Linked DNA regions of Saccharomyces cerevisiae S288C. Changing the gene in region 1 together with any one later gene gives a genetic interaction. Each region holds a gene or a part of one and is shown in the gene's direction. Other genes may lie near its edges. The genes, in order: MRC1, DDC1, SML1 and GET2.

Region 1 (8,240 bases):
TCCTTTTCCTGGTCCTTGATCAGCTCCTCGGCTTTCAAAGTAGTCTCAGCTTTCAGTTTAGCTGGCTCTTGTGTACTTGCCTCCCGCAGCAGCGTCGGTATCATTGTTTCACTACTTTTGTTTAACTTTTCCACTTGTAACTTTGTTCTCTTCCTTTCAGCGGTGCTGATCGACCTCTTTTTTTGTACTTTCTTGCCAACACCAACATTCTTGCCCACACCTTTCTTTTTCATGCTACACTTGCCCATTTTTTCCTTGCTAAATGCCCTTGAGTTATTGTACCTTATTATAGCAGGCTTGCACATCTGAAAACGAAAATTTTTTTTTCCTTATATTTCTAATTCTTTTAGCGATGAGATATGAAAATTTTCAAAAAAAAGAGATGATGAGGTTAACTATTGTAAAGTAGACAGCAAACAAAAGGGTCACACAAATATCCAAATTGGCAAACGATGGTGTCTACACATAACAGAGATAAACCTTGGGATACGGATGATATTGATAAATGGAAGATAGAGGAGTTTAAGGAAGAGGATAACGCATCCGGTCAACCTTTTGCTGAAGAGTCCAGTTTTATGACTTTGTTTCCTAAATACAGAGAAAGTTACTTGAAGACGATTTGGAATGATGTAACAAGGGCTCTAGACAAACACAACATAGCGTGTGTTCTAGATTTAGTCGAAGGTTCTATGACAGTAAAAACAACTAGAAAAACATACGATCCCGCTATCATTTTGAAAGCCAGAGATTTGATCAAATTATTGGCGAGATCCGTTCCTTTCCCGCAAGCCGTTAAGATCCTACAAGATGACATGGCATGCGACGTTATTAAAATTGGTAATTTCGTTACTAACAAAGAAAGGTTTGTCAAGAGAAGACAACGTCTTGTAGGCCCTAACGGTAATACTTTAAAGGCTTTGGAACTTCTAACTAAATGTTACATTCTAGTACAAGGTAACACAGTAAGTGCCATGGGTCCCTTCAAGGGCTTGAAGGAGGTCCGTCGAGTAGTAGAAGATTGTATGAAAAATATTCACCCTATCTATCATATCAAGGAATTAATGATAAAAAGAGAATTGGCAAAAAGGCCAGAGTTAGCCAATGAAGATTGGTCAAGATTCTTGCCCATGTTTAAGAAGAGGAATGTGGCCAGAAAGAAACCCAAGAAGATCAGAAACGTCGAAAAGAAGGTCTATACTCCATTTCCTCCTGCCCAATTGCCTAGAAAGGTTGATTTGGAAATTGAAAGTGGTGAGTATTTCTTAAGCAAGAGAGAAAAGCAAATGAAGAAATTAAATGAGCAAAAGGAAAAGCAAATGGAAAGAGAAATCGAAAGGCAGGAAGAGAGAGCAAAAGATTTCATAGCTCCGGAAGAAGAAGCATACAAGCCAAACCAAAATTAGTTTACACCGCTACGGAATCCTTCATATATGTCTATATATATATAGAAACACACACACATTTCGTTTACTTAGATATGTTTGTAAAGTGAAAGAAATTCTTACTAGGACACCAACTCTACTGGCTCTCATATGCAGAGAGATATACATCAATACTTGAAATTTTCCTTATCCTTCTTCGACGCGTCATGAAGAGATAGAATGCGTAAAACGCGTTTGCTTCAATAGCATTTCAAACACATTATGTTGGAAAAAAACCAAGAACAGACAAACAACTAAGGAAGTTCGTTATTCGCTTTTGAACTTATCACCAAATATTTTAGTGATGGATGATGCCTTGCATGCTTTGTCCTCGTTGACTGCAAAGAAGAGAACTACCACCTACAAAAAAGTTGCTGTTCCCATACTAGATGAGAACGATAATACTAATGGAAATGGGCCCAATGACATAGACAATCCGCCAGAGTTGACTGGGAACGGGTTTTTATTTGCCAATGCCACATTAAATCGTGTTAAGAACAGATTAGAAGGCAAGAAAGCACCCGAACAGAATCACAATAATGGAAAAGATAGGAGTGAGAATTCGTTACCAACTCAATTAATCTCTAATCTTTACGATGGTGGTGAAGAGCTGGAGAAATCCGAAGTTAAAGATAATAGTTACAGTGAGAAAAATGTCTCTTCTTCATTCACGCAGACGCAAAGAATACCTGTCAGCATCCAACAAGACAAGGTGTTTAACGTACCTATCCATTCCGTTAATGACGGGAAACCCACCCAATTAATCAAAGAAGATGGTCTCGTCAACGAAACTTCTCAAGCGCTGAAAACACCTCTCACGACAGGACGGCCAGGGGCTACACAGCGTATAGATAGCAGCGGTGCAACCTCACAAACTCAGCCTATAAAATCAATTGAACCACAATCCCAAATAATTACGACTTCCAGCAATCATTCTAATGCTCTGTCGCCGAAAATTCCTATAATTCCAACGGAACTTATTGGAACTAGTCCTTTATTTCAGTCCATTCAAAATCGTGGTCCTGACACCCAAATGGATGTACCACCACAGACTGCGCATGATGAGGATAAGACACAAGCAATTGGTATTCCACAGGCTACGCATCAGGAACAGAAAACCCAAATAGATACAGTCGCACAAACACTTCAAGATGAAGTACCACACACATTAAAAATTCGGGAAATACAAAGCGAATTGGCTTCAGAAGATTCTAAAAGGGAAAAAGCTAGAAATGTCGAATACAAAAAACCGCAAAAGCCAATACCAACCAAAAAATTTTTTTCTAAAGAGTCTTTTCTTGCTGATTTTGACGATTCGTCCTCAAATGAGGACGATGATATAAAGCTGGAAAATGCACATCCAAAACCAGTACAGAATGACGATGAACTGCATGAGAACAAAAGTGTTGAATTAAATCTAACTGATGAGACAAGAATAAATGAGAAAAGGGTTCCACTATTGAGCTCCTATGCTAATAATTTGAAACGGGAAATTGACTCCTCGAAATGCATAACACTGGACCTCGACAGCGACAGTGACGAATATGGAGATGATGATATGGATAGCATTAAATTATCCAAAGATGAAAGCGTTTTGCCAATCTCTCAGTTATCAAAGGCGACTATATTAAACCTGAAGGCAAGACTCTCTAAACAAAATCAAAAGTTGTCTCAAAGGCCGAATAAAAGTAAAGACCCAAAAGTTGATCATAATGTACTATTAAATACCTTAAGGAAAGCTAGCAGGAAACAAATTCTGGATCATCAGAAAGAAGTGATTGAAACGAAAGGTCTGAAGCTGGAGGATATGGCCAAAGAAAAGGAAATAGTAGAGAACTTGCTAGAACAAGAAATTCTTAGAAATAAAAGAATCAGACAAAAAGAGAAGAGAAGGGAAAAACTTGAAGAAAATGACTTTCAATTGAACGCCCATGATTCCGGTTCTGACTCAGGGTCAGAGTCTTCTGGATTTGCATTGAGTGGTAATGAAATTGCCGATTATGAATCATCTGGTAGTGAAAATGACAATCGTAGAGAATCCGATAGTGAAAAGGAAGATGATGAAATTATTCTAAAGCAAAAAAAATCCCACCACGTGAAACATATCATTAACGAATCAGACTCTGATACCGAAGTCGAAGCCAAACCCAAAGAGAAAGCTGATGAAAGTCTACCGAAAAGGATCGCCATTAATCTGGGCCATTACGGTGATAATATCGGAGAGGATACCGACAAATTTCAAGAAACCAATGTTCTAGATACACAAAACATTGAAGAGGTGATGGCCGAAAGAAATACAATCGAAAATGAAGTCAAAGATGATGTATACGTCAATGAAGAAGCTGATGAAGCAATTCGCCGTCAGCTGATTGACAAAGAGAAATTGCAACTAAAACAGAAAGAAAAGGAGCACGAGGCTAAGATAAAAGAGTTGAAGAAAAGAGGTGTCACAAACTTCTTTGAAATGGAAGCCGAAGAATCCGAGGATGAATGGCATGGTATCGGTGGTGCAGATGGAGAAGGATCTGACGACTATGATTCTGACCTAGAAAAAATGATCGATGATTATTCCAAGAACAATTTCAATCCTCATGAAATCAGAGAAATGCTTGCCGCAGAAAATAAGGAAATGGATATCAAAATGATAAACAAAATTCTTTATGACATTAAAAATGGAGGATTTCGTAATAAAAGAGCAAAAAATAGCTTAGAGCTAGAACTAAGTGATGATGATGAAGACGACGTACTACAACAATATCGTCTCAAAAGGAGAGAATTGATGAGAAAAAGGAGATTAGAAATTGGCGATGATGCAAAGCTTGTTAAAAACCCAAAGTCGAGCGCATTTTTTGAAAGTATGGTGGAAGATATTATCGAATATAAAAACCCCTTCGGGGCTGAAGAGGAATATAACCTAGACATTACAAGTACGGCTACTGACCTAGATACTCAGGACAATAGCATTAATGTAGGTGATAATACGGGAAATAATGAACAGAAACCTGTAGATCAAAAGAACAAAAAGGTTATCATATCTGAAGACTTTGTGCAGAAAAGCTTATCCTTCCTAAAAAGTAATAATTATGAGGATTTTGAAACGGATAAGGAGCTATCAAGGATACAACATGGCAATGATGAAGCAATTGAAGATTTATATACCCTAAAACAGAATAGTTCGATAAAGTCATTCACAAATTCTCAAACTGATTCGACCACTTCAAAAACAGTAAACACAATAATTGACTTAGAAAAGCGCCCAGAGGATGAAGATGAGGTGGAAAATGGAGATACATCACTAGTTGGCGTTTTCAAACATCCATCAATAATCAAATCCTTTGCGTCCAGAACAGACATAAATGATAAGTTTAAAGAAGGTAACAAGACAGTCAAGATTCTAAAGTCTTACAAGACAGTGGGGAGTTCAAAAGCTTCTATCACATATATGGGGAAAACGAGAAAATTAATAGCACCAAAGAGGAAAACTGAAGGGAGCCACCGCTACCACCATGACCATCATAATAAAAAAATGAAAATGAAAACGAAAACAAAATCGAATAAACTTTTTGAAAGCGGACAAGATAGCTTTGATAATTAGTGGTTTTTTATCTTTTCCGAAGAAGTTGATTGAACTCCAGAAGCTGTCTTGAAGTAGTCGCATTAAAAAAGATGGCACCCGAGTCTAGGCCAAGCCATAGTCATGTTATGATAGGATTTTATAAGACAAATATTATAAAGAAGTTTAATAATAATACAAAAAGATACAAAAAAACTTGAAGATATTCTGAATAAAAAAAAAAAGAATAAACATTTGGAGCAAAAGAAGAGTAGGTTAGGTAAAGGAGGCATTAATTAAAACAGCAGTTCTGTATTCAAAGCATCTTGCAATTCTTCTATAGAGACGCTTATATCCATATTATTTTTTTGTTCCTGTGCTACATTATGATTTGATATTCGTTCTTCATTCATGCCCTTATTCTTTCTCCCCCTCTTACTTTGAAAAGATTCTGATATTGTGCTTAACGATGAATTAAACTTATCCATAAAAGATGCATGCTTAAGATTTGTGTTGTTCTCTTTTACCGTATGTGTATCTGATCGTGCAATGAATGATGATAACAACGCCTTAGAACTTGAAATACGAGGACCATTACGACTAGGAGCCATTGTCGCTGCAACAGTTGGATGACAGTTCACTTGGACATTTGATATCGAAGTTCCAAACGTCGGATTAGATGGCCTGAAGAATGAGGCGGAGAAACTTCCCAGATTGAGCGACTTAGAAGGTGCTGGTTTGTTAGATAGTATACTTTCGTGAGAGTTATATCTCCTTAAAGGTTCGAATTCAGCACCCTTTGCGGTCACACCAACATGTGGAGGGGTACTTATGTTTGGTAGAATGATAGTATCTTGATCAGAATCAAAATCTTCATCATCCATTTCATCAAAGAAGGTCAACGAAAGTCTTTGTCTATTTTTGAAGAAAGACTCATACGTATCCGAGGAAGACGGTTTCTTACTTTTGTTCAAGCCAGTATCATGTGATTTGGCTGCACGTAAAGTGCGATTTCTTGCAGGTTGTTTTTTAGGTGAGCACGGTAAAGAGTTAGTTTTCGAAGGACAATCGACTTCATTGATGGGGTTAAAGCCTACCGATTTTTTTGGTGGTTTCGATGGAGTTACCATACACAGACGTTGCCTCTCAATTATTTTCAATGGTCGAGGTTGAAATGACCCTAAACTACTTCTGGTGGATTGCGATTGTGGAGAATCATTAGGCGCTTCATTTGGGACGGTGGCCAGCTCGTTCAACCTCAAAGTGATATCCTGGAATTCACGAACCAAGTCTTCTATGCGTTGATGCTCATTATCCTCTGTGATCAATCTGCGTTGTTGTTCCTTGCTCAACTTGTCTCGAACAGATTCCGATCTAACATACAAAGAGTTCAGTTGAGACATATACTGGTTGTACTGTTGGGATAACTTATCCAATGACTCTTGATCTGTTGTCTGGCATATTGATGATCTCTGCTGACGTTGTATCCACAGATCTAATTGCAAGATAGCCTCTTGCGACCTTATTAAAAGCCTCTCCGTGATATCCTCTAGGGCTTGGGTTGCCATTAATCGATGTGTCCTTGTTTCCTTATGCGAGCTGTTTCTTATCTATCTTATGGTCCCATTCTTTACTGCACTGTTTACATTTTGATCAATTGCGAAATGTTCCTACTATTTTTCTTTTTCTCTTTTCGCGAGTACTAATCACCGCGAACGGAAACTAATGAGTCCTCTGCGCGGAGACATGATTCCGCATGGGCGGCTCCTGTTAAGCCCCAGCGGAAATGTAATTCCACTGAGTGTCATTAAATAGTGCCAAAGCTTTATCAAATTGTTTGCGATGAGATAAGATAAAAGGGACAATATGAGGAGGAACACAGGTATATAAATATCGCCAAATAAAAGGAAAATGTTTATACAGTTTTCTCTTTTTTAAGTGCTGGATAGACAAGAGACAGGAAAATTAACCAGCGAGATGTCGATAGTCTACAATAAAACACCATTATTACGTCAATTCTTCCCCGGAAAGGCTTCTGCACAATTTTTCTTGAAATATGAATGCCTTCAACCAAGTGGCTCCTTCAAAAGTAGAGGAATCGGTAATCTCATCATGAAAAGTGCCATTCGAATTCAAAAGGACGGTAAAAGATCTCCTCAGGTTTTCGCTAGTTCTGGCGGTAATGCCGGTTTTGCTGCTGCAACAGCATGTCAAAGACTGTCTCTACCATGTACAGTCGTGGTTCCTACAGCGACAAAGAAGAGAATGGTAGATAAAATCAGGAACACCGGTGCCCAGGTTATCGTGAGTGGTGCCTACTGGAAAGAAGCAGATACTTTTTTAAAAACAAATGTCATGAATAAAATAGACTCTCAGGTCATTGAGCCCATTTATGTTCATCCCTTCGATAATCCGGATATTTGGGAAGGACATTCATCTATGATAGATGAAATAGTACAAGATTTGAAATCGCAACATATTTCCGTGAATAAGGTTAAAGGCATAGTATGCAGCGTTGGTGGAGGTGGTTTATACAATGGTATTATTCAAGGTTTGGAAAGGTATGGTTTAGCTGATAGGATCCCTATTGTGGGGGTGGAAACGAATGGATGTCATGTTTTCAATACTTCTTTGAAAATAGGCCAACCAGTTCAATTCAAGAAGATAACAAGTATTGCTACTTCTCTAGGAACGGCCGTGATCTCTAATCAAACTTTCGAATACGCTCGCAAATACAACACCAGATCCGTTGTAATAGAGGACAAAGATGTTATTGAAACCTGTCTTAAATATACACATCAATTCAATATGGTGATTGAACCGGCATGTGGCGCCGCATTGCATTTGGGTTACAACACTAAGATCCTAGAAAATGCACTGGGCTCAAAATTAGCTGCGGATGACATTGTGATAATTATTGCTTGTGGCGGCTCCTCTAATACTATAAAGGACTTGGAAGAAGCGTTGGATAGCATGAGAAAAAAAGACACTCCTGTAATAGAAGTCGCTGACAATTTCATATTTCCAGAAAAAAATATTGTGAATTTAAAAAGTGCTTGAAAATCCAATAACTTTTTCGTTGAAGCATCAATTTGCCCTTGATAATTTTCATACATGTACTACATACATTTTACTCATATATCACTATTTTGCTAGTATTGATTTTTTCCAGAAGTATTAGTGTAAGATTTCTCGAAGTAAGCATCAACATATCCAAAACGTTGACATATTTCTAGGCCGGCAATGCACAGAATTTGTATAAAGGG
Region 2 (6,552 bases), on another chromosome or scaffold:
ATGAAGATACGAACATACCTGAAGTGGGAAAGGCAGTTGCCACAACCAGAAGAGCATAACATATTGTCATGACCTCTTTATATGCACCTGGGGCGGAGGATATTCGGCAAAGGTTACGTCCTTTTGGGTTTTTCTTTGAGAAATCACTAAAGGATTTGATTAAGGGTATTAGGTCTCACAACGAAACACCAGAAAAACTGGATCAATTCTTTAAACAAGTATTAAGTGAATGCCGGGAAGAAGTGAACTCTCCAGATCTAAATTCTAAGACCAATGCCGTTCTTAAATTGACCTATTTAGAGATGTACGGTTTTGACATGGCTTGGTGCAACTTTCATATCTTAGAGGTTATGAGCAGTAATAAACTTCAACAAAAACGTGTGGGGTATTTGGCTGCATCACAATCTTTTTACAAAGATTCTGACATTTTGATGCTTGCAACTAACTTGTTGAAAAAAGACTTAAAGTATGACGGAAACAATGATGTTGTTAAAGTTGGCATTGCTTTAAGTGGTCTTTCCACTATAATTACACCCTCATTAGCAAGAGATATAGCTGATGATTTGTTCACTATGCTAAACAGCACAAGACCGTACATAAGAAAGAAGGCCATTACCGCACTATTTAAAGTTTTTCTGCAATATCCAGAGGCTTTGAGAGATAATTTTGATAAGTTTGTTTCAAAGCTAGACGATGATGATATATCTGTGGTTTCTGCCGCTGTCAGTGTTATTTGCGAGCTATCAAAAAAAAACCCCCAACCATTCATCCAGCTTTCACCTTTATTATACGAGATATTAGTTACCATTGACAATAACTGGATAATCATTAGATTATTGAAGTTATTCACCAACTTATCACAAGTGGAACCGAAATTGAGAGCCAAGTTATTGCCGAAAATTTTAGAACTGATGGAGAGTACTGTTGCAACTTCTGTGATCTATGAATCTGTCAACTGTATTGTCAAGGGGAATATGCTAGAAGAAGATGATTTTGAAACAGCAATGGCATGCCTGGAAAGATTGCACACATTTTGTGATTCTCAGGATCCAAATTTGAGATATATTAGCTGCATATTGTTTTACAAGATCGGCAAAATCAATACTGATTTTATTTCTCGGTTCGACCAACTGATTATACGCTTACTCTCCGATGTCGACGTTTCTATAAGATCAAAAGCAATTGAATTGGTTGAAGGTATTGTTGATGAGGATAACTTAAAGGCAATTGTCCAAACATTGATGAAGCAATTTGTAGATGAAGATGTGGTTATCCTACAAACTGGAAGCATCGTATACGAAAAATCAAAGAGAATTCCCATAATAATTCCAGAAAATTACAAGATAAAAATGGTGAACGTCATTATATCGATTTGTTCAGCTGACAACTATTCCAGTGTTAACGACTTTGAATGGTACAATGCAGTAATAATGGACTTGGCGATGCTCTGTCAAGACATATCTGATAAAAGCCTTGGATCAAAAATTGGTGAACAGTTTAGGAATTTGATGATAAAAGTTCCTTCAATGAGAGAAGTAACCATTGCTAATATTATAAAGCTTATTTCAAATGACAATATTAACAAACAGTTGCCTACCGTATTGAGAGAATGCATTTGGTGTCTCGGAGAATTTTCTACCCTAGTTGAAAATGGTAACGACTTAATAAAAATCATGACTGAGAATATCAGTTATTATTCTCATAGTGTACAAGAAGTTTTAATTTTAGCACTTGTTAAAGTATTTAGTAATTGGTGTAATAACTTTCAGGAGGATAAACGCTTTGAAATTAAAATGGTGTTAAAAGAGCTAATTGAATTTTTTGAAAATTTATCTTATTCGAGTACATTCGAAGTCCAGGAAAGAAGCGTAGAAGTTTTAGAATTTTTAAGACTAAGTTTGGAGGCTTTAGAGGAGGATACGGAAGGTCTACCAATGCTACTGAGCGAAGTCCTGCCTAGTTTTTTTAACGCCTATGAACTCGCACCAATTGCGCGTGGGACTCAATTGAAGTTAGCAGTAGATGAGAATCTTGATCTAGAAACTCCATTTTTGACAAAGGAGGCAGCTGATGAACTCTTAGATGAACAAAAAAGTGACGCCATCAGTGATTTAATGTCTGATATCTCAATGGACGAGCAAGTTGAACTAAAATTCGTTGATGATTCTGATACTTCGTATGAAGAAAAGGAAAAATTGGATGATTTTGAAAATCCATTTGAGATTGAGAGAGAAAAGGAACGGATGTCAAATCCTTATTATCTAGGTGAAGAAGACGAAGAAAGAACTAAGAACTCTAAAGATTTGTTGGACTTGAATGAGGAGGAAAGTAGTGATAAAAAGCCAGAAACTATTAGATTAAATAGAACCGATAATTCGTTGAATTCTCTAAGTTTATCTACAACTGAAATCAGCAGAAAGAAGAAGAAGGGAAAGAAGAAAAATAGGGTTCAAGTCTTATCCGATGAACCTGTTATCGAAGCCGCTCCCAAAAGGAAAGATGCATTCCAGAAACCCCATGATAATCATTCAACTCAAAATCCTTTGAAAAAGGACAAGATTAATCTGAGAATGCACTCTCAACTTGAAAATTTTGATTTTTCCAATTTTGGGCAATCGAGTAACGCAGGAAGAGGATCGCAGGAAGAGGGCAACCTTAGAAAGGAAGACGAGTTAGAATTAAGTCGTTTAGAGGCCAATCTTATTGTAAAAGATGAAAAGGATAATTTAAGTGATACTGAAGAAGTTATAGTTATAAAAAAGAAGAAGAAAGGGAAAAAGTCAAAGTCAAAAAACAAACTAAAAACGAAAGCAAAAAATTCTCCAGAACCAAATGAATTTCTTCGAGACCAAAGCACTGACATTTAACGATAAAAAAATCGAAGTCGTGAATTCTCAATGACAGCGATTACGTACGTAAACTATAATTAATTTAAGTATTTTATTCTGCATAGTATATTATTGCGGTGCACTCAATTTGCCGAAAGAGACGGCATATTTAATAATGACGCGAATGAATCAAAGGCCGCCAAAGGTAATCATAGACCAGAGATGATTTGCAAAATTATTTGACATACTATTGCTAGTGTAACAATAACACAGCATAACTTTGCTTAGACATATATGTCATTTAAGGCAACTATCACCGAGTCGGGGAAGCAGAATATCTGGTTTCGTGCGATATATGTGTTATCTACAATTCAGGATGATATCAAGATTACAGTGACAACAAATGAGTTAATTGCTTGGTCAATGAACGAGACAGATACTACTCTTTGTCAGGTTAGGTTTCAGAAAAGCTTTTTTGAGGAGTATGAGTTTAAACCACATGAGATTGTATTTGGAGAAAATGGGGTTCAAGTTATAGAAGATACGTACGGCAATAGTCATAAGTTATACTCCTTCCGTGTTAATGGAAGACACCTAACAACTATATCAAGAAAGCCGGATGGTGATGGCATCAAATCATTCACAATTGCGGTAAACAACACTTCTACCTGTCCTGAATCACTTGCAAATAGATTGATTGTGGTGATTGAAATGGATTCGTTAATAGTCAAAGAATACTGTCCCCAATTCCAGCCAATAAAATACGATCCCATAATAATCAACCTTAAGTACAAAAGGAGGTTTTTGGATGTTTTTGGAACTGCTGCCTCCGATCGGAATCCACAGGAGCCCTTGGACCCTAAGCTATTGGACGTTTTTACAAATACAGAGCGTGAGCTAACATCAGCCTTATTTAACGAAGAAGTGGAATCAGACATACGTAAAAGGAATCAGTTAACGGCTGCTGATGAGATTAATTACATTTGTTGTAATTCAACTTTATTGAAGAATTTTTTAGACAACTGCAATGTTAATGTAACCGATGAAGTAAAATTGGAAATTAACGTACATAGGCTAAGCATAACTGCATTCACCAAGGCCGTCTACGGCAAAAATAACGACCTTTTAAGAAATGCGTTAAGCATGAGTAACACTATCAGTACGCTCGATCTTGAGCATTATTGCTTATTTACAACAATCGAAGATGAAAAACAAGATAAGCGATCACATAGTAAGCGTAGAGAGCATATGAAAAGTATAATATTCAAATTGAAGGACTTCAAAAACTTCATAACGATAGGTCCATCCTGGAAGACTACCCAGGACGGAAATGATAATATAAGTTTATGGTTTTGCCACCCAGGGGACCCTATTCTTATGCAAATGCAAAAACCGGGCGTAAAATTAGAATTGGTTGAAGTTACTGACAGTAACATTAACGATGATATTTTAGAAGGAAAATTCATAAAAACAGCAATCTCTGGCTCCAAAGAAGAGGCCGGACTGAAAGACAACAAAGAAAGCTGCGAAAGTCCATTAAAAAGCAAAACTGCTTTAAAGAGAGAAAACCTGCCACACTCTGTGGCTGGAACTCGAAACAGTCCTTTGAAAGTGTCGTATCTGACCCCTGATAATGGAAGCACAGTTGCTAAGACCTATAGAAATAACACGGCAAGAAAATTATTCGTGGAAGAACAAAGCCAAAGTACGAATTACGAACAAGATAAGCGGTTCCGGCAGGCTAGTTCAGTTCATATGAACATGAATCGGGAACAAAGTTTTGACATTGGTACGACTCATGAAGTGGCCTGTCCACGTAATGAGAGCAATTCTTTAAAAAGATCCATAGCAGATATTTGTAATGAAACTGAAGACCCCACCCAACAATCTACATTTGCAAAAAGGGCAGACACCACTGTGACATGGGGAAAAGCGTTACCAGCTGCAGATGATGAGGTTTCATGCAGCAATATCGATAGAAAAGGAATGCTCAAGAAAGAAAAATTGAAGCATATGCAAGGTCTGTTGAATTCCCAGAATGACACAAGTAATCACAAGAAACAGGACAATAAAGAGATGGAAGATGGGCTGGGTCTAACACAAGTAGAAAAGCCAAGGGGTATATTTGACTAAAACCATAATGCAAAATCAGTATAAAGGCGTGTAAATATTAGATGAAGTAGCAATTATCATGATAATATCGATCGCTGTTTTTTTTTTTTTTTCTGTCTCAATTTGGTGAGCGTGCGGCTGATGGTCCATCACGGTCGGGGAACAAACTAAAATTTTCAATAGCATAATATCTCTATATTGCATAGCTTTTTACTTAATAGGAACTTAAAAATTTCATTGATGCTATTATATTTAACTCATAAGTCAATCTCTTTTTCCATTTTGATTAGCTTATTGCGACATGGACTATGAATTATAATAACTTTGAAAATTCGAAGGGTGATGGACATTCTAGGCTTCCCAAACCTACATACTCCGGAACGCTATCAGATGGCTATGATGAATCGAAAATTAAAAGGCAAAAAACAGACTCTGCTTTTAATGCAGCTTACTCACCTCATATGTATCCGAACTCTCCGTATTATGAAGGTTCATGGAATACCGGTTATACTCCTCAACTTCATCATGTAGCCCCTCATAATCAATATTTCCATCCAATACAACCGTCCACTCAGTACAATTATACGAGTCCTCCCAATTATACAGAAAATTACATACCGCCAGTTCATCAGAATATATCTTATGCACCAGCGCTTAATTTACAGAAGTGGCCATCATCATATTGTGAAAACACTCAAGCCTTAAAGAATGATAAAGATTACCAAACATCAATTAGTTATGAAGATGTTGCAATACCGACCGTAAAGGAAATACAATTGATTGAGAAAAACAGAGGGAAAGATACGTTTATGAATGAAATAAGTCCAGTACCATCAAGCAAGGATCAAGCATCTGCGGAGCCTACAGAAATCCCAAGAAAGGATCCCGAGCTGGCAAATTCTAATGCCGAAGATGATCATAATAACTTAGGGCTAGAAGATGATGATCGTGATGAGCAGTTAGAATCAGAGGGGTTGGGTAAGGTGGTTTTGGTTCCTGGAACCTCCATAGCATTGATTACTGATGAAGATGTTAAAAAGTGGAGAGAAGAAAGAAAAAAAATGTGGCTACTGAAAATATCCAATAACAAACAGAAACATATGCAAGAAATGGGCATAAAGGAAGATGAACTGAAGAGCCAACCTAGCATTTTCAAAGAGTCAAGGAAAGAAAAGCAATTTATACAGAGTATTCAAAATCAAGTGCAGAGAGGAAATCCGAAGATTGACTTGAACTTGAAATTGATACAGCGAGAATTCGCAAACGAAAACTCCCAACTTTTGGACTTTATAAGAGAATTGGGAGATGTAGGATTACTTGAATATGAGCTATCTCAACAAGAAAAAGATGTACTTTTTGGGAGCTCTGAAGATAATAATAAAAATCATTACAAACCAAATTACAAAAACAGGAAACCTAATCTGAGTAGAGCCAACTTTACTAGAAATAAGTAATAGAATAGCAAATATTGATATACATGGAAGAGTACATGCAAAGGTGCGTAAAAAAAAATAAGTCAGATAAAACTAATTACTGTTTAGAAATCATGAGTATATGAAACTAATTTTGAAGAGCTTTAACTGCTAGGTTACTTAAAACAGTAGTTACAGCA
Region 3 (6,956 bases), on another chromosome or scaffold:
ATAAAAACTCAGGAACTTGAGAATTCAAAGTGGTTTCTTGTGAACCAGGTATATATGGCATCTTGTCGTCGTCAATAAGCCCTTGCAAAAAGATACGACCATAGTCTACACCCACATGATAAATTTCTTCGAACTTGCTAAAGTCTAATGTGGCATATTCTTCAATAGGTGGTCTCACATAAACGACACCTGGTGTATTTTTCGCTTTCTCTAAAGCATTTACTGATGCGACGTAACCCAATCTAACTTGAATCTCTGCCATATTGGGTATGTTTGGATGAGAAGAAAATGGATTCCATCTATTGAAAATGATCCAAAACCCATTTAGGGAGTCACCATATTCCATAGGCGTTCTATCATCTGCAGAACCTACATCTACTGCAAATATAGTTTGGCAACCACGCGCTCTCATCTCAGTTACTGGTAAATTATCAACATAACCACCATCCAGTAACATAGACCCGTTCTCTTCCAAAGGAGGTAAAAGACCAGCAAGAGACATCGAAGCTCTGATGTACCTCCACGCATAACCAAAGGAATGTATTTCTTGAACCGAATCGGTTATATTAGTAGAATTACAATAATACTGGATCCAGAAGTCTTCAATTCTTGTATCCCCGAAAGTTTTCCAAATACCTCTATTAAATTCGTGACCAGTAGTATAAGAAGTAACCGGCCAGGTTAAATCTGTTAACATTCTCCATATAGAGGAAATTCGACCAGCAAACTTCTTCACGCGGCCGTAAATTGGCACCAAATCATAATCCTTCGCGTACAAACCGCCAACAAAGGAACCAATCGATGTTCCTCCAATAACGTCGACCGGAATACCTTGTTCTTCAATAGCTTGAATGACACCCAAATGACTAATACCTCTCGCACCTCCTCCTCCGAGGACAAGTCCAATAGCTTGTCCAGAAAGAATTCTAGCCAATCTTAGAAAATCATTTTTATGCCTATGAACTGGTGTGTAATATTGTCTTTTACTTTTCATGAATCTTGAAGAAAAGTTTTCTACGGTGTTCTTGATAGAATCTGGAAGTAGTTTTGATATATTCTGTTGAGTTTTTCTACTGAATTCTGTTTGAATCAACTTATCCATTAATGCCAAGGCACCATTATTCAAAACGTGCATTTTGCCTTCGTTCATCAAGGTTGTTCCTGTCAAACTAAATTGAATGTGATGATGCGAATGAACCCATGGCCTATAGCGTAACCACTTATGGGTTAGTCCTGGTTCCACATACCTTTCAGGGTGTAGAAGAATTAACTCGGTCCTTGCGGTAGTCTTTGAATTTAGTAATAACTTTTCATATTCTCCTATTTCGGCTGATGGAGATCTAGCATCTGCTAGTAAGAGAATACAATCACCTTGCGCAATACAGGTTCTTGTCCAATTAGATTTAACTGGTGTATCTGATATATAAACAACAGTCTGGTACATTTCTTCTAGTTCAGCAAAGTAACCACTTTGTTTTAATTTGGACAATCTGTCAAATGCATGACGACCTAAATGTGTTAGGGTAGTTCTTTGATTTAAACCAATCGTGGTCCTTCCTACCTGTTTGAAAGCTTGCACTAACTTCATAGCAAATGCTTCTACAGGTAGTCCACTGGTAATTGGTAAGATAGTGATGGTTCTAAAAGTAATTGTGCCAGAAGTAATATTTTGGGGTTTATGACTTAAAGAGCTAGAGTAAGACGCTTTCGTTGGAGGTATTAAAGAAGTGAAGTCGTTTTCCTTTATAGATAATGGATCGCCTGTTAATGCTGGAACAGTTCTATCTCCGACAATTTTTTTAGCAACTAATCTGGAAACTCTAATCATGATAGATGGATGTTCAAGAGCTAATAGTTCGAATAATGTTCTCGGAATTCTCGCTAATTCAGAATCCCTCACTGCCACTATCGTTGAATATCTATTCATAGCGGTAAGCACTTCAACTTCACCAAAACTCTCCCCCTGGGCCAGTTCTCCTAGAATAATGTTCTGAGTTTCAACTTCTTCGGAACTTGTATTGGAGTTTGACAATGACTGCTGTTGTAGCTGCCTTAGTCTACCATTCAGGACAACATAAATACCGTTAGCCGAGTCACCTTGTGAAAATAGAGTTTCAGAAGCCCTCAAGTGAACCCATTCTAAAGCATGGTCGAGCTTTAATAACCTTGAAGATAGCAATTTGGTTAATGAATCAGAAATCCGTAAGTAGATTAGGAAATATTTATCAAACAATCTTTCTAAGGTTGCACTAGATAAAAATCCAACATAGACATCGCTCTTGGCAACGATATTAACAAATGATTTGTAACCAATTAGAGAGGACAAGTAGCCCACAATACCACCAGATCCTACAGAGTATAACAAATGTTGAGTATGATGAGGATTTTCACCCTTGTGTGAACTTTGGGCTGAAACCTGCTCTGGTTTAGACATTGATGATACTACTGACGAGGACGAATTTGTTGTCACATTAACTTTCCCGGAAATGATATAGAATAGGCCTTTACCACGAGCGTTCTGCTCAACAATTGTGGTGCCCTTTTTAAAGAACTTCAACTGAATGCCTTGTGCAAAGTCTTTCTTGACATCTTCGAAATCCAAATTGGGTGTCAACTCCTCTTTGTAAGCTCTAGGTTTTTTTTTGTCCTGGCTTTTACTTTTATTATGCCTTTTATTGCTGATAGTGTATTCTTTGGGTAGGATTCTTAACATTGTCGGTTGAGTTTGAGGAGAGGCAAATGATGAAGCTACGGAAATGTCAGATGGTGTACAGTGAGGGGACATCAGAAAACTTGCGTTACTTGGACGGCGGCTATACATTTCATTAAGTTGAGGAGAGTTTAAAGAAGACATATTTGCTATCGAAGAAGATGAAACGGACATATTGCTTTTGTTTACACCCAAGTATGTTAACATTGCCTCAACTAAAGCCATTCTTAAAGCAGAGTCCTCGGTTTCTTCCTGGGCAGCAGAAAAGGATGTTGTGGGCAGTAAATTAGGTCTTGGAGAGACCCGTCCCTTCAAATGAACGGGACTTGGGTGGATATGGTCATGAACAGAAGTATTATCCAAGGACAAGGGCGATGTACTAAGTTGTGCGTTGCGCAATTCTGGGGACAAAGAAGAAAACTTCTTAGAGTGTACGGAAGCATTGTTACTGCTACTCCTAGAAGATCGCTTATGTTGGTTAGAGGTAGAAGTGTTAATACCGTTTGATTTATTGCGGTTGTTATTATGGATTGGGTTGGGTGACAGAATATCCATAGTTCTAGACAGTGGGACATTTGACAGTAAATCACCAGGATTAAATTGGTCTCTTGAACCCAGTACGACATGTCTCGAACTTGGATGGTGGGTGAATTCTGGTTTCAGTGAAAGGGAATTCGAACTTGTGTTAGCGTTGGCGTTAGCAATCTTAAGCGATTGAATGATACCATCAGATGGCTTCGCTTTGGGCGGTTTCTTCAATTTAGAGGAAGCATTACTATTTTTGGGTTTCGGTTCTAAATCAGCCGATCCGCTCGACTTATCTACAGTTTTAAACTTACGAATAACGGCCTCTTTCAAATAATAAGGCAATTCATAAACGATGGATTTATTTAGTAAAACTTCGATATCCATGATCTCCTTTGTTAAACCTAAGTAGTCGTGAGCAGTTTGGAACGTAACATGGTATAGCTTGGTGAGAACCATCTGTATGATATGGGAAGCAGACCGTGGGTATTTTGCGGTTAATTTGGCAAACGATTGAGGTGGGATAATACCAATTGTGCAGTCTGTAGCCGCACGGGCGACAAGTTTAGGCATTGAAGAGGGGAACGTTGGAAAGCTGTTGGTGGAGTTTGTCATGGAATCTGTGTTGGAGAAGTTCTGCTCTGATGAGCAGAACATATTGTTGACCGACACCGTTGTGTCTATAGGTGACGATAACTCAGAGGGAAAGTTACTGTTGCCATACGAGGACATGGAATGCGTGAATAAGTTTAAAATGCTCACGAGGGAGGTCAGCGGGTTTCCTGGCTTGACTGTATTTAGCAGTTGAAAATTTCCCAGTCCATTTTTCAGATGAATGTAACCAACGGATTCATCTTCTTCATCGATGAGGTTAGAAGAACAAGATTTGGTGTCGTAGTTATCAATGTCATCATCTTCTTCTTCGTCTTCTTCATCTCTATCCTGGTCGTCAAGACCATCCGTGTCACTGTGGTCAGTTTCATCGCCATGGTCCTTATCTGAATGATCTACTTCATGATATAACTGCAGGGTGCCTTCAACGACGATGGCAAACCCAATAGTACTGTCCAACAGTAAAATCTCACCCTCATCCATTTTTTGAGTTTTCATATTCTTGGTCAGGTCATGGAAGACTGGTTTTTCCAGATAGCCAAAGATTTTGATGGCGCTGAGAAATTGGTCAAGGTAAGATGAAAGAAAGGTTTCGTTTTCGTTGCCATCTTTCAATGAATGCTTTTTTGAGTCTATAATCGAGCTTGCACCCGTGGTAGAGGAACCTATGGCGGGTGGCGCGTTGGCTGACTGAGTGGAAGCTGCATTGATATTGGCGCTGGAGCCAGATTTACCTGTATTTTCCAGCGGCAAGAACTCCGGGGTCAGCCTCTTGTACTGGGATAGAATTCTCTCCTTCATGATGGTGTAAGTCACAAAGACTATGACGGCTAGGGCAAACAGGATCAGCCAAAAGGAAAGAGTGAACTGAACATGGTGTAACTTGAAGAAGATCCACTTCGGAATCCTTAAAAGCGATAAAGTTGCCAGATACCAACCGTACCTGAAGATCATACGAGAGGCACCCATAACAAAGTAGGACACAACCCACGAGAAGTTGAAGAGGGATGAAAGTGACCACGTCTGCGCCTCAGAAATAATCTGGTCGGTGAGACATGTCTGGAATCTATAAGAAGTATAATTACTGGAATTAAAGCTGGAGCCAAGACTGTTTTTCGTGTTTTGGCCGGTATTGTTGGTGTTGTTCGTAGTGCAATTCATTGAACGCATGCAAAAACTAGAGCCAAGCCTTTCTATTCTTTTCTTGTTTATTTTATATTCGTTAGAGTTTTGTGGTGTTTCTTTAACTTAATAAACTTTCGAGAAAAGTGTCAAGTTTCCCAGATTTTTAAGATCCTTATAACCTGTAAAAAAAAAAAAAAAAAAAAAAAAGAAGGGTTTAAATAAAAATCGGACTTACTCAAAGGGTTGAAAAGCACTTTAATATAGGTTTTTAGTTTCGGGTAAGAAGATGTGTCAAAGGTCTCGAAAAGGAAACATTAGGGCAAATACGTAAAGGTTGCCTTCGTATCTCGTTTCCACAGCAACGAGAAACGAGATACGAAGGCAACTGATTCCCAGCATATAAAAGGCCATGAATTTTTGGCGTTTCCTATTGTCTTTTCGAAACTATTTCTTTCATTCCTTTCCTTTCTTGTTCTTTTACTTATAAGAAAAATAATATACGTATATATATAACTACAAACCACATCAGCAATAAAAAAAAACTATATGACCATGGACCAAGGCCTTAACCCAAAGCAATTCTTCCTTGACGATGTCGTCCTACAAGACACTTTGTGCTCAATGAGCAACCGTGTCAACAAGAGTGTCAAGACCGGCTACTTATTCCCCAAGGATCACGTTCCTTCTGCCAACATCATTGCCGTCGAACGTCGCGGCGGTCTTTCTGACATTGGTAAGAATACTTCCAACTAAGAGCATGCTTCTCTTTTTTTTTGTAGGCCAATGATAGGAAAGAACAATAGATTATAAATACGTCAGAATATAGTAGATATGTTTTTATGTTTAGACCTCGTACATAGGAATAATTGACGTTTTTTTTTGGCCAACATTTGAAATTTTTTTTTGTTACCTCGCGCTGAGCCCAAACGGGCTCCACTACCCGCCGCGGTCGCCATTTTGGGAAGTCATCCGTCCCAAAAAGGAAATAGCCATAACATATCGTTACTGTTTTGGAACATCGCCCGTTTCGCCCGATTCCGCCTCAGCGGGTATAAAAAGAGATCTTTTTTTTTCCTGGCTGTCCCTTCCCATTTTTAAATGTCTTATCTGCTCCTTTGTGATCTTACGGTCTCACTAACCTCTCTTCAACTGCTCAATAATTTCCCGCTATGCAAAATTCCCAAGACTACTTTTACGCTCAAAATCGCTGCCAACAACAACAAGCCCCTTCCACATTGCGTACCGTGACCATGGCGGAATTTAGAAGGGTGCCTTTGCCACCTATGGCTGAGGTTCCTATGTTGTCTACTCAAAACTCCATGGGCAGCTCCGCTTCTGCCTCCGCTTCTTCATTAGAAATGTGGGAAAAGGATTTGGAGGAGAGACTCAACTCTATCGATCATGACATGAACAACAACAAATTTGGTTCTGGCGAACTAAAATCTATGTTCAACCAGGGTAAGGTCGAGGAAATGGACTTCTAAAGTTCCTTTCATACTCTTTTCTTTTCTCTTTCCATTTCCCACTAGTTCTGTTCTTTTCTTCTCTTAGATACCCTTCTTTTCAGGGACTCTCGTCCTACTATTGTTGTCATTCTCGAAACATTCTCTCCCGTGCATTTTCCTTTCCCTTTATATACATATATATATATATATATATATATGTCTCTTCTACGTATTTTTGTATTTCTGTGTCTTTATCAAAGATAGTCTATAATACGTTTGATACAGCTAGATATCGCTAGCGCCAACATTGTCCCCCTCTCTTGATCAATGCTTTTTTTCGGCCCGAGACAAATGAGAAAATGTCCTAAAAATACCTTTCATCAAGACTCCTATTTTTCCTTAGAAAAAACATATATCCAACTGGAACAGTATTAAGCCAATTGCTACGATACAAACAAAAGGAGATATTCCTTCCCTCCCATAGAGTCACACAGGAGCCAGTACTTCTTCTTGAACCCGCAATGTCTTCAGACGCTATA
Region 4 (7,664 bases), on another chromosome or scaffold:
CATCGTATACAGAGGACCTTAAAACTAAACGGACGTAATCAGGGGTGTTATCAGTTTGCAGCTCATCCAATTTCAATTCAGAGTGTAGTTTTATCAAGGAAGGTGACAGGTGTTGTCTGTGCAAATGAGCCTTTAGTCTCAAAAGGTTCAATCCAGACACTTTGGACTGTTTACCTTGCCGAACAACCGTACATAATGGTTGCTTTAGTAGAGTAGCTGACATCACTAACTTTGTGTAATTGACTTAGTTTAAATGTGGCTTGTAGCACTCACACAAGAAAGAACTCAAAGCAGCAACAACAAAAGTTTTCAAAGCTGATAATGAAGTATCTGCAGACATATGTTTGAGATGACTCTTTTTCTTTGATATTTTTTTTTTCTTTTTATGCGATTCCAAATTTGCTACCCGCTGCGCTTTTTCTTTTTGCCCTTCTTATTTTTTCTTTTTCGCGTCAATTAAAATTGAACGTCACAAAATAGCAGAGATAATATGCAATAAAGAGAGAAGAGTTAAAGAGTCTTGGTAGTCAGGAAAAGGTTTTCATATTCATCAGACATAATGAATTTCAAGGAGCCGCTAGTGAATTTTTTAAAATGCGTCTTGAATAACATAAACTCGGCATTTTCGCATAGGATTGATCAATTGCAATTGCAGCTGTTGCGGGAAACAAATATCTTGAGGGTTTTGAACAGGGGAATAGAGAGACTGTTTAGCGAGAATCCAAGGACCCATTCTGTTTCCCGTATCGTGGTGGAAAAAGATGTGGGCTGCAGAATTGGACGATATGTGGAAGGTTCTAAATATGAACTGGTAGAGTCCAGGGCGAAAGAAATACAAATATATTATGAAAGGATGGTTTTTGAAATAACACAAGAATTGAAAGGGGACAAGCGGGTGTTTGCCTTGATTGCAAATCTTTCCCAAAGATATAGCGCAGAGAGGAAAGAAATACGAAATGTAAAGGTGCATGGTGGGCGGCCATGTAATGAGAACGAATTCCAGGTGATTCCGATAAGATTCAAACCTATTAATTTGGAAAGAAGAGCACGACTGATAAGAAAGAAGAAGACTATTAATTAAAAAACTTACATACAAATACATGCCTTACTTTCGATGCCAGCATCTGGAAAGGGAAAGGCAGGGGCAGAGGGACATATTACTTATCTATTTATGCATAATTTGTGTTATATATTGGTATGATAACTTGATGTTAGAGAATGTGCTATTCTGTTTCTTGAAAATCTGAGTTAAGGTTGATACCGCTTTGATACAGCGGGTGTGACAGGTTTATCTGTGACGGTGACAGGGGCAGTAGAACTACTGGAAGCCGCAAAGTCAGAGGATACTGTGAGTGGTGGTGCCCACAACGTGGATGGTCTCAGTTTGACCCTAGGACTTGCAGAAGATCCTGTGGGAAAATCCGGGGAAGGCGGATGGCTACTTGGGTTGAGCATTACTCTCTTTGTGAAAAGGGAGGGAGGGAGAAGTTTGGGGATGAGATGGTTGCTCTTATAACATAAGGTAAATAAAAATTTGGGGTGACCCCGCCGTGCGCGTTTGCTGGGACAAAAGAACAAGAATAGGAACATGAAAAGATTTGAATGATATGGATATGTACAAATGAGCTCTTCCATGTTTGTAGCATCAGCAACGTAGCTCTAGGAAATATGTCTGAATTAACAGAGGCGGAAAAGCGCAGGTTACTAAGGGAAAGGAGACAGAAGAAGTTTAGCAATGGAGGTGCCAGCTCCAGGCTTAATAAAATCACCGGGCAGGCAAGCAGTCATTTGAACGCAGAATCACCTTTAGACGCTCCTAGCGCTGCAAAGACCACACCACCTGCGAGTGTGCATTCGGCTACTCCAGATATCAAAGAAGATAGCAACGTAGCGCCCCAATTGGACCTATTGAAACAGCTCGCTGCCATGCAAGGCCAAGGTACGGGTAAAAGTACCCCTCAGGACTCCTCTACGCCCGATCTACTCTCACTACTAAGTTCTATGAACACTGGCATGCCCAGTGCAGAGGGTACACCATCGTTTGGTCAAGCGGCTCCTGCAGCCCCGATCAATCAAGCTGCTTTGGACTACCATGATTACTTGCTGAACAGACTGAAAGCCTGGACCATTCTTGTGAAGTGGGTCTTTTTCCTACTACCCTATCTATACCTAATCACAAGACCAAATTCCTCTGTGTGGCCGGCCTATGCATTTACTCAATCAGCTTGGTTTGCACCTTTGCGGAACCCATCGAATTTCACTAGAATTTTTGCCACGTTTGAGTTCCTTTCCATATCCATCTACTACCAGCTATTGAAGAATGTGGAACACAAGAGCAAGATTAAAAATTTACAAGATACCAATAAACTTGTCAAGTTAGTTTCACTGGTGCCCGAGGGAGTAATTCCCGTCGCCAACCTGAAGGGGAAGCTAATTACCCTTTTGCAATACTGGGATCTATTGTCCATGCTAATCACTGACATTTCGTTTGTGCTAATTGTCTTAGGCTTATTGACGTACTTATAAATTCTAGATAGTTCAGTAATATAATACATTGTTCTCATAACCCGACATTATTCCCGGCTTTCTTTTCAGGTAATTGAAAAAAAAAGAAAAACGGTAAGAAAATTTTCTAAGCGATGAGTTCGTGAAAAATCGATGTATAGAACTGAATTGGAGTTCAATAGTAAAAAAAAATCCATATATAGCATTAAAAACTCAGTATCCTAGCTTTAAGAAACTGAACCAGATTCCAACGACACAATGGGTCACAAGAAGAACGGTCACAGACGCCAGATAAAAGAAAGAGAAAACCAGAATAAATTTGAACGTTCCACATATACTAATAATGCTAAAAATAATCATACTCAAACAAAGGATAAAAAACTAAGAGCAGGCTTGAAAAAAATAGACGAGCAATATAAAAAGGCGGTATCTTCTGCTGCGGCAACAGATTACCTTTTACCCGAGTCCAATGGTTATTTGGAACCTGAGAATGAGCTAGAAAAGACTTTCAAAGTGCAACAATCGGAAATCAAATCGAGTGTGGATGTCAGTACTGCAAACAAAGCTTTGGATTTATCTTTGAAGGAATTCGGCCCTTATCATATAAAATATGCAAAAAACGGTACGCATCTTTTGATTACTGGCCGCAAAGGTCACGTAGCATCTATGGACTGGAGAAAGGGACAACTTCGTGCTGAGCTGTTTTTGAATGAAACCTGTCACTCAGCGACATATTTGCAAAACGAACAATACTTTGCTGTAGCGCAAAAAAAATATACATTTATTTATGATCACGAAGGTACAGAATTACATCGTTTGAAACAACATATTGAGGCAAGACATTTAGATTTTCTACCATATCATTACCTGCTCGTAACTGCCGGTGAGACAGGTTGGTTGAAGTACCACGATGTTTCCACTGGCCAGTTGGTCTCGGAATTGAGGACCAAAGCTGGGCCAACTATGGCAATGGCACAAAACCCATGGAATGCTGTGATGCATCTAGGTCATTCAAACGGTACAGTATCCCTCTGGTCACCATCCATGCCTGAACCATTAGTAAAATTACTTTCTGCCAGAGGACCAGTGAACAGCATTGCTATCGATAGAAGCGGGTATTACATGGCAACCACAGGGGCTGATAGGTCGATGAAAATTTGGGATATCAGAAACTTCAAGCAACTACATTCTGTGGAAAGCTTACCGACGCCAGGAACAAACGTTTCCATTTCAGATACTGGTCTATTGGCATTATCTAGGGGCCCTCACGTTACGTTGTGGAAGGACGCTTTAAAATTAAGTGGAGACAGTAAACCGTGCTTCGGGTCCATGGGAGGGAACCCACATAGAAACACCCCTTACATGTCACATTTGTTTGCCGGAAACAAAGTAGAAAATTTGGGATTCGTACCATTTGAAGATTTACTAGGTGTAGGCCATCAAACGGGTATTACGAATTTGATTGTACCTGGTGCAGGTGAAGCCAATTACGATGCCTTAGAATTAAACCCATTCGAAACCAAAAAACAAAGACAGGAACAGGAAGTCAGAACCCTATTGAACAAACTGCCAGCAGATACAATTACTTTAGATCCGAATTCCATCGGTTCAGTGGATAAAAGGTCTTCTACCATAAGGTTAAACGCTAAGGATTTGGCGCAAACTACAATGGATGCTAATAATAAAGCCAAAACCAACAGCGACATTCCAGATGTAAAACCTGATGTGAAAGGTAAGAATTCGGGTTTGCGTTCCTTTTTGCGTAAAAAGACTCAAAACGTTATTGATGAAAGAAAATTAAGAGTACAGAAACAACTGGATAAGGAGAAAAATATTCGTAAAAGAAACCACCAAATCAAACAAGGCCTAATTTCAGAAGACCACAAGGATGTCATCGAAGAGGCATTGAGCAGATTCGGCTAAATCGAAATATCTTTAAAAAAAAAACTTAAATGATTATGTATGTATATATAAAATAGATAATCATTATTATTGCCTCAAGCATTCTTCTATCCATTTTTTTTTTGGTTCTTTTTAATATTTTATAGGAAACTTTTAATCATGTTCAAAAAGTTGACAGTATGAGAATCGATTGCATATTAATATAGCAATCTAATTGAGATCTTAGCAGAGGTTTGATTTAGTTGTTCATAAATATCTTTAATATCGCTTTGGTCAACAGAAGAGATATCAGCCATTAAATAAGCAATTTCACCATTTGAATCGGAAAATTGCTTTTCGATGTTATGGTTCGATAAAATATCATTGACGGTCTTCAAAACACCTGGTACATTTTGGTGAATGTATAACACACGCACAGTGTTCTCTTGGTCGTAAGACAATGATTTCAATGCCACTTCTGGGAAGTTGACTGAACCGACAGAGTTACCTTCATTGATGTATTTGGACAATGCGGTAGCCACTTCAATACCGATTGAGCTTTGGGCTTCTTCGGTAGAGCCACCAATGTGTGGTGTCAAGATGATATTTGGTAATGAAACTAATTCAGAAGTCCAGCTATTTAGCTCATCGTTAAATGAACCTTCACCGTTCTTAGCTGGTTCATGTGGATAAACATCCAAAGCAGCACCTGCAATTTTGTTGGCTTTCACGGCTTGGATCAAAGATGGAATGTCCACGACAGTACCTCTTGAAGCATTAATAACATAAGCGCCATCCTTCATAGCAGCAAATTGTGGGGCAGATAACATTTTTTCAGTTTCAGGAGTAGCTGGTACATGTAGTGTCACAAAATCAGATTTATTCAACAATTCATCTAATGTAGAAACTTGTCTGGCAGTACCCAAGGCCATGATAGTTACAATATCGTAGTACAACACATGCAAACCCATAGCTTCTGCAAGAACTGATAATTGGGAACCAATGTGACCGTACCCAATAATACCAAGAGTTTTTCCTCTTACCTCCCAACATCTAGCAGCAACCTTATTCCATGTACCGGTATGTAATTCGATAGATCTATCACCTAGTTGTCTTGCTAAACTAATGATTTCAGCGATGACCAATTCTGCTACTGATCTTGAGTTGGAGAAAGGCGAGTTGAAAACAGCAATACCTCTGCTGGTAGCGTAGTCTAAGTCAACTTGGTTGGTACCGATACAGAAACAACCAATACAAACCAGATTCTTCGCATGTTGTAAGACATTTGAAGTTAATCTAGTCTTTGATCTGATACCAATAGCATGAACGTCCTTGATCTTTTCGATCAACTCTTCCTCGGGCAATGAAGATTTATAGAATTCGACTTGGTAACCTTGCTCTTCGAAGATTGTAATAGCAGTTTGATTAACGTTTTCTAATAGTAAAATCTTCATATCACCCGTTGAGAAAGGCTTCAAAATTTTTGGGTGCTTTACAGCATTCAAGCGCTGTGGAACGGTATTCATGAAAGATTGCGTAGGTGAAGTACAAACAGCGCCTGGGGAGCCGCTCATATTCATAGCTTGTTGAAAGGTATTTTGTAAGTTGTTAATGTCAATGCTTGTCATTGCTGTCGATTTTTCTGTGGTTCTTTATAGAGTTCTGTATTTTTACTAAGATAGTTGACAAGTATCAAAAAGTGAAATAACTAGAAATGGTTCTTCCTTTATATACATAACAGTTTTAAGAATTTCCTTATCCTCTGCTCCCTCCTTCCAACAAAGTAATTACTCATAACTTGGATATTTGTCTGATTTTTTCATCCCGCTCAGAAAACCCTGCACGGGCAGCGTTGCATTTTCTTAATTTTTTTCTCGTGGTAGAAGTCAAGGACAATAAATTGCGAAATTAGGTGGGAACGAGAAGAATAATTAAAGTGCTGAGACCGAAGTTGTTCCCCTTGAATTCCATTTGTGAGTAAATATCGAAAATGGGTCCACAAAAAAAATTAGGTTTTTCTAAAATATTAGGTCCAGCCTAACTGCTTAACCAAATTTTTAATTTGTGATATTTGCACATAGCTTGGCCAAACAAAGGCATTACTCGATTGTGAGTAAAAAACTAAAACAATGTAGATAATCAGGATTAAACAATGGCATTTCTATGGATTTGTTGTTCTCTTTATATATTTGAGGAAAATTCAAAGATAATGGGGAGAAAGGTGGAGATGTATCTCCACCTATCGTAAATTTGAAAGTTCCGCTTTTCCGCCAATTGCACCCAAACATCACGCAACGCTTTTTAAAACGTTATCAATATATCCAATCCAGCATTGTTAAGTTGATTAGTAAATGGAAGAGATTCCATTGTGTACAAAAAAGGGTTTTAACTTGATTATTTTGTTATAACGTTCTATACAGTTGAATGAGGTAAAGAAAACAAAAAAATATTTCATTTTTAGTATAGATTATTTGGTAGCTTCAGGTTGCTTCACGGTGTAGTCTCCGTTCTCTTGCTTAACAATACTGCCGGAATTTAATAGTTGATCAAACATATCTTGAGGAATCCACCCTTGAGTGGCAGCAAATGGTGTAGAGATTAGCTTTTCGTGTAATTTTTGCAAATCCTCAACATGTCTTTCAATATCTTCTTTACTATAGTTTAGAGGAAACTTTTTCTGATTCACTAACTCATTCTGGGCAAAGATGTCCCAAACTTCCTTCAATTGCAATAGTGATTCATCAATAAGTAAATACTCTTCTTCCGTTTTTCTTTCGACAGCTGCAATATATGGGCTTCTCAGTAGCTTAACAGGTGGGGCAACTGCAGTAATTAATTTAGGATTATTGTCATTTAATTTTTTCTCCCATTGATGTTGATTACGGGTGCGCTTGTACATGAACTGATATTGCACCTTTTCCGCCTCAGATAATTTGTCAAAATCGGTTATGTCCTCCTTTAAGTCATAAATCTTGGGCCCATCATAGGCGATGAATTGTGGCGAATTCTGTAAAATGAAAGGTTTTGTGCATGCTCCTTCAAAATCTAATAGATAGGCTTCTTGTGCTTCTTTGTTAACAATAATATTCATGGGGTCTAGATCAGGATGAAACAAACGTGGTGACAATAGTTCCTGCATATTTGGAATGGCCTTTGTTTTGACGTTGAATAAATCCGGGGCAATCTTAGCTAAATTTTCATAGGTAGTTATTTGCTCCTTCAAAGTTCGAGGATACATCAATTCAGCTGAACTTCCTGCCTCTTTCATGGCTATTCTA

The links.
Region 2: mutations in MRC1 (region 1) and DDC1 together harm fitness more than expected from each alone (negative genetic interaction), as found in Saccharomyces cerevisiae (9 studies listed by BioGRID, with this or other methods).
Region 3: of MRC1 (region 1) and SML1, a mutation in one rescues a mutant of the other (synthetic rescue), as found in Saccharomyces cerevisiae (7 studies listed by BioGRID, with this or other methods).
Region 4: mutations in MRC1 (region 1) and GET2 together harm fitness more than expected from each alone (negative genetic interaction), as found in Saccharomyces cerevisiae (6 studies listed by BioGRID, with this or other methods).

Annotation. Positions count from the first base shown.
Region 1 is NC_001135.5:15,592-23,831, reverse strand, and holds MRC1 (chromatin-modulating protein MRC1), read left to right. Parts: upstream 1-1,725; coding exon 1,726-5,016; downstream 5,017-8,240. Other genes in the region: ADF1 (Adf1p), read right to left, coding at 1-248; FYV5 (Fyv5p), read left to right, coding at 1-309; ribosome biosynthesis protein KRR1, read left to right, coding at 453-1,403; VAC17 (Vac17p), read right to left, coding at 5,271-6,542; L-serine/L-threonine ammonia-lyase CHA1, read left to right, coding at 6,952-8,034. UniProt on the Saccharomyces cerevisiae protein: Required for normal DNA replication. Phosphorylated in response to DNA replication stress. Phosphorylation allows it to mediate the activation of RAD53.
Region 2 is NC_001148.4:176,155-182,706, forward strand, and holds DDC1 (Ddc1p), read left to right. Parts: upstream 1-3,122; coding exon 3,123-4,961; downstream 4,962-6,552. Other genes in the region: APL5 (Apl5p), read left to right, coding at 69-2,867; RSA1 (Rsa1p), read left to right, coding at 5,249-6,394; pheromone-regulated protein PRM3, read right to left, coding at 6,501-6,552. UniProt on the Saccharomyces cerevisiae protein: Component of the checkpoint clamp complex involved in the surveillance mechanism that allows the DNA repair pathways to act to restore the integrity of the DNA prior to DNA synthesis or separation of the replicated chromosomes.
Region 3 is NC_001145.3:153,242-160,197, forward strand, and holds SML1 (ribonucleotide reductase inhibiting protein SML1), read left to right. Parts: upstream 1-6,141; coding exon 6,142-6,456; downstream 6,457-6,956. Other genes in the region: NTE1 (lysophospholipase), read right to left, coding at 1-5,017; HUG1 (Hug1p), read left to right, coding at 5,519-5,725; CMP2 (calcineurin catalytic subunit A), read left to right, coding at 6,939-6,956. UniProt on the Saccharomyces cerevisiae protein: Strong inhibitor of ribonucleotide reductase (RNR1) and is involved in regulating dNTP production.
Region 4 is NC_001137.3:321,036-328,699, reverse strand, and holds GET2 (GET complex subunit GET2), read left to right. Parts: upstream 1-1,668; coding exon 1,669-2,526; downstream 2,527-7,664. Other genes in the region: threonine ammonia-lyase ILV1, read right to left, coding at 1-223; YER085C (uncharacterized protein), read left to right, coding at 560-1,081; YER084W (uncharacterized protein), read right to left, coding at 1,249-1,635; UTP7 (Utp7p), read left to right, coding at 2,764-4,428; phosphoglycerate dehydrogenase SER3, read right to left, coding at 4,605-6,014; AIM9 (Aim9p), read right to left, coding at 6,854-7,664. UniProt on the Saccharomyces cerevisiae protein: Required for the post-translational delivery of tail-anchored (TA) proteins to the endoplasmic reticulum.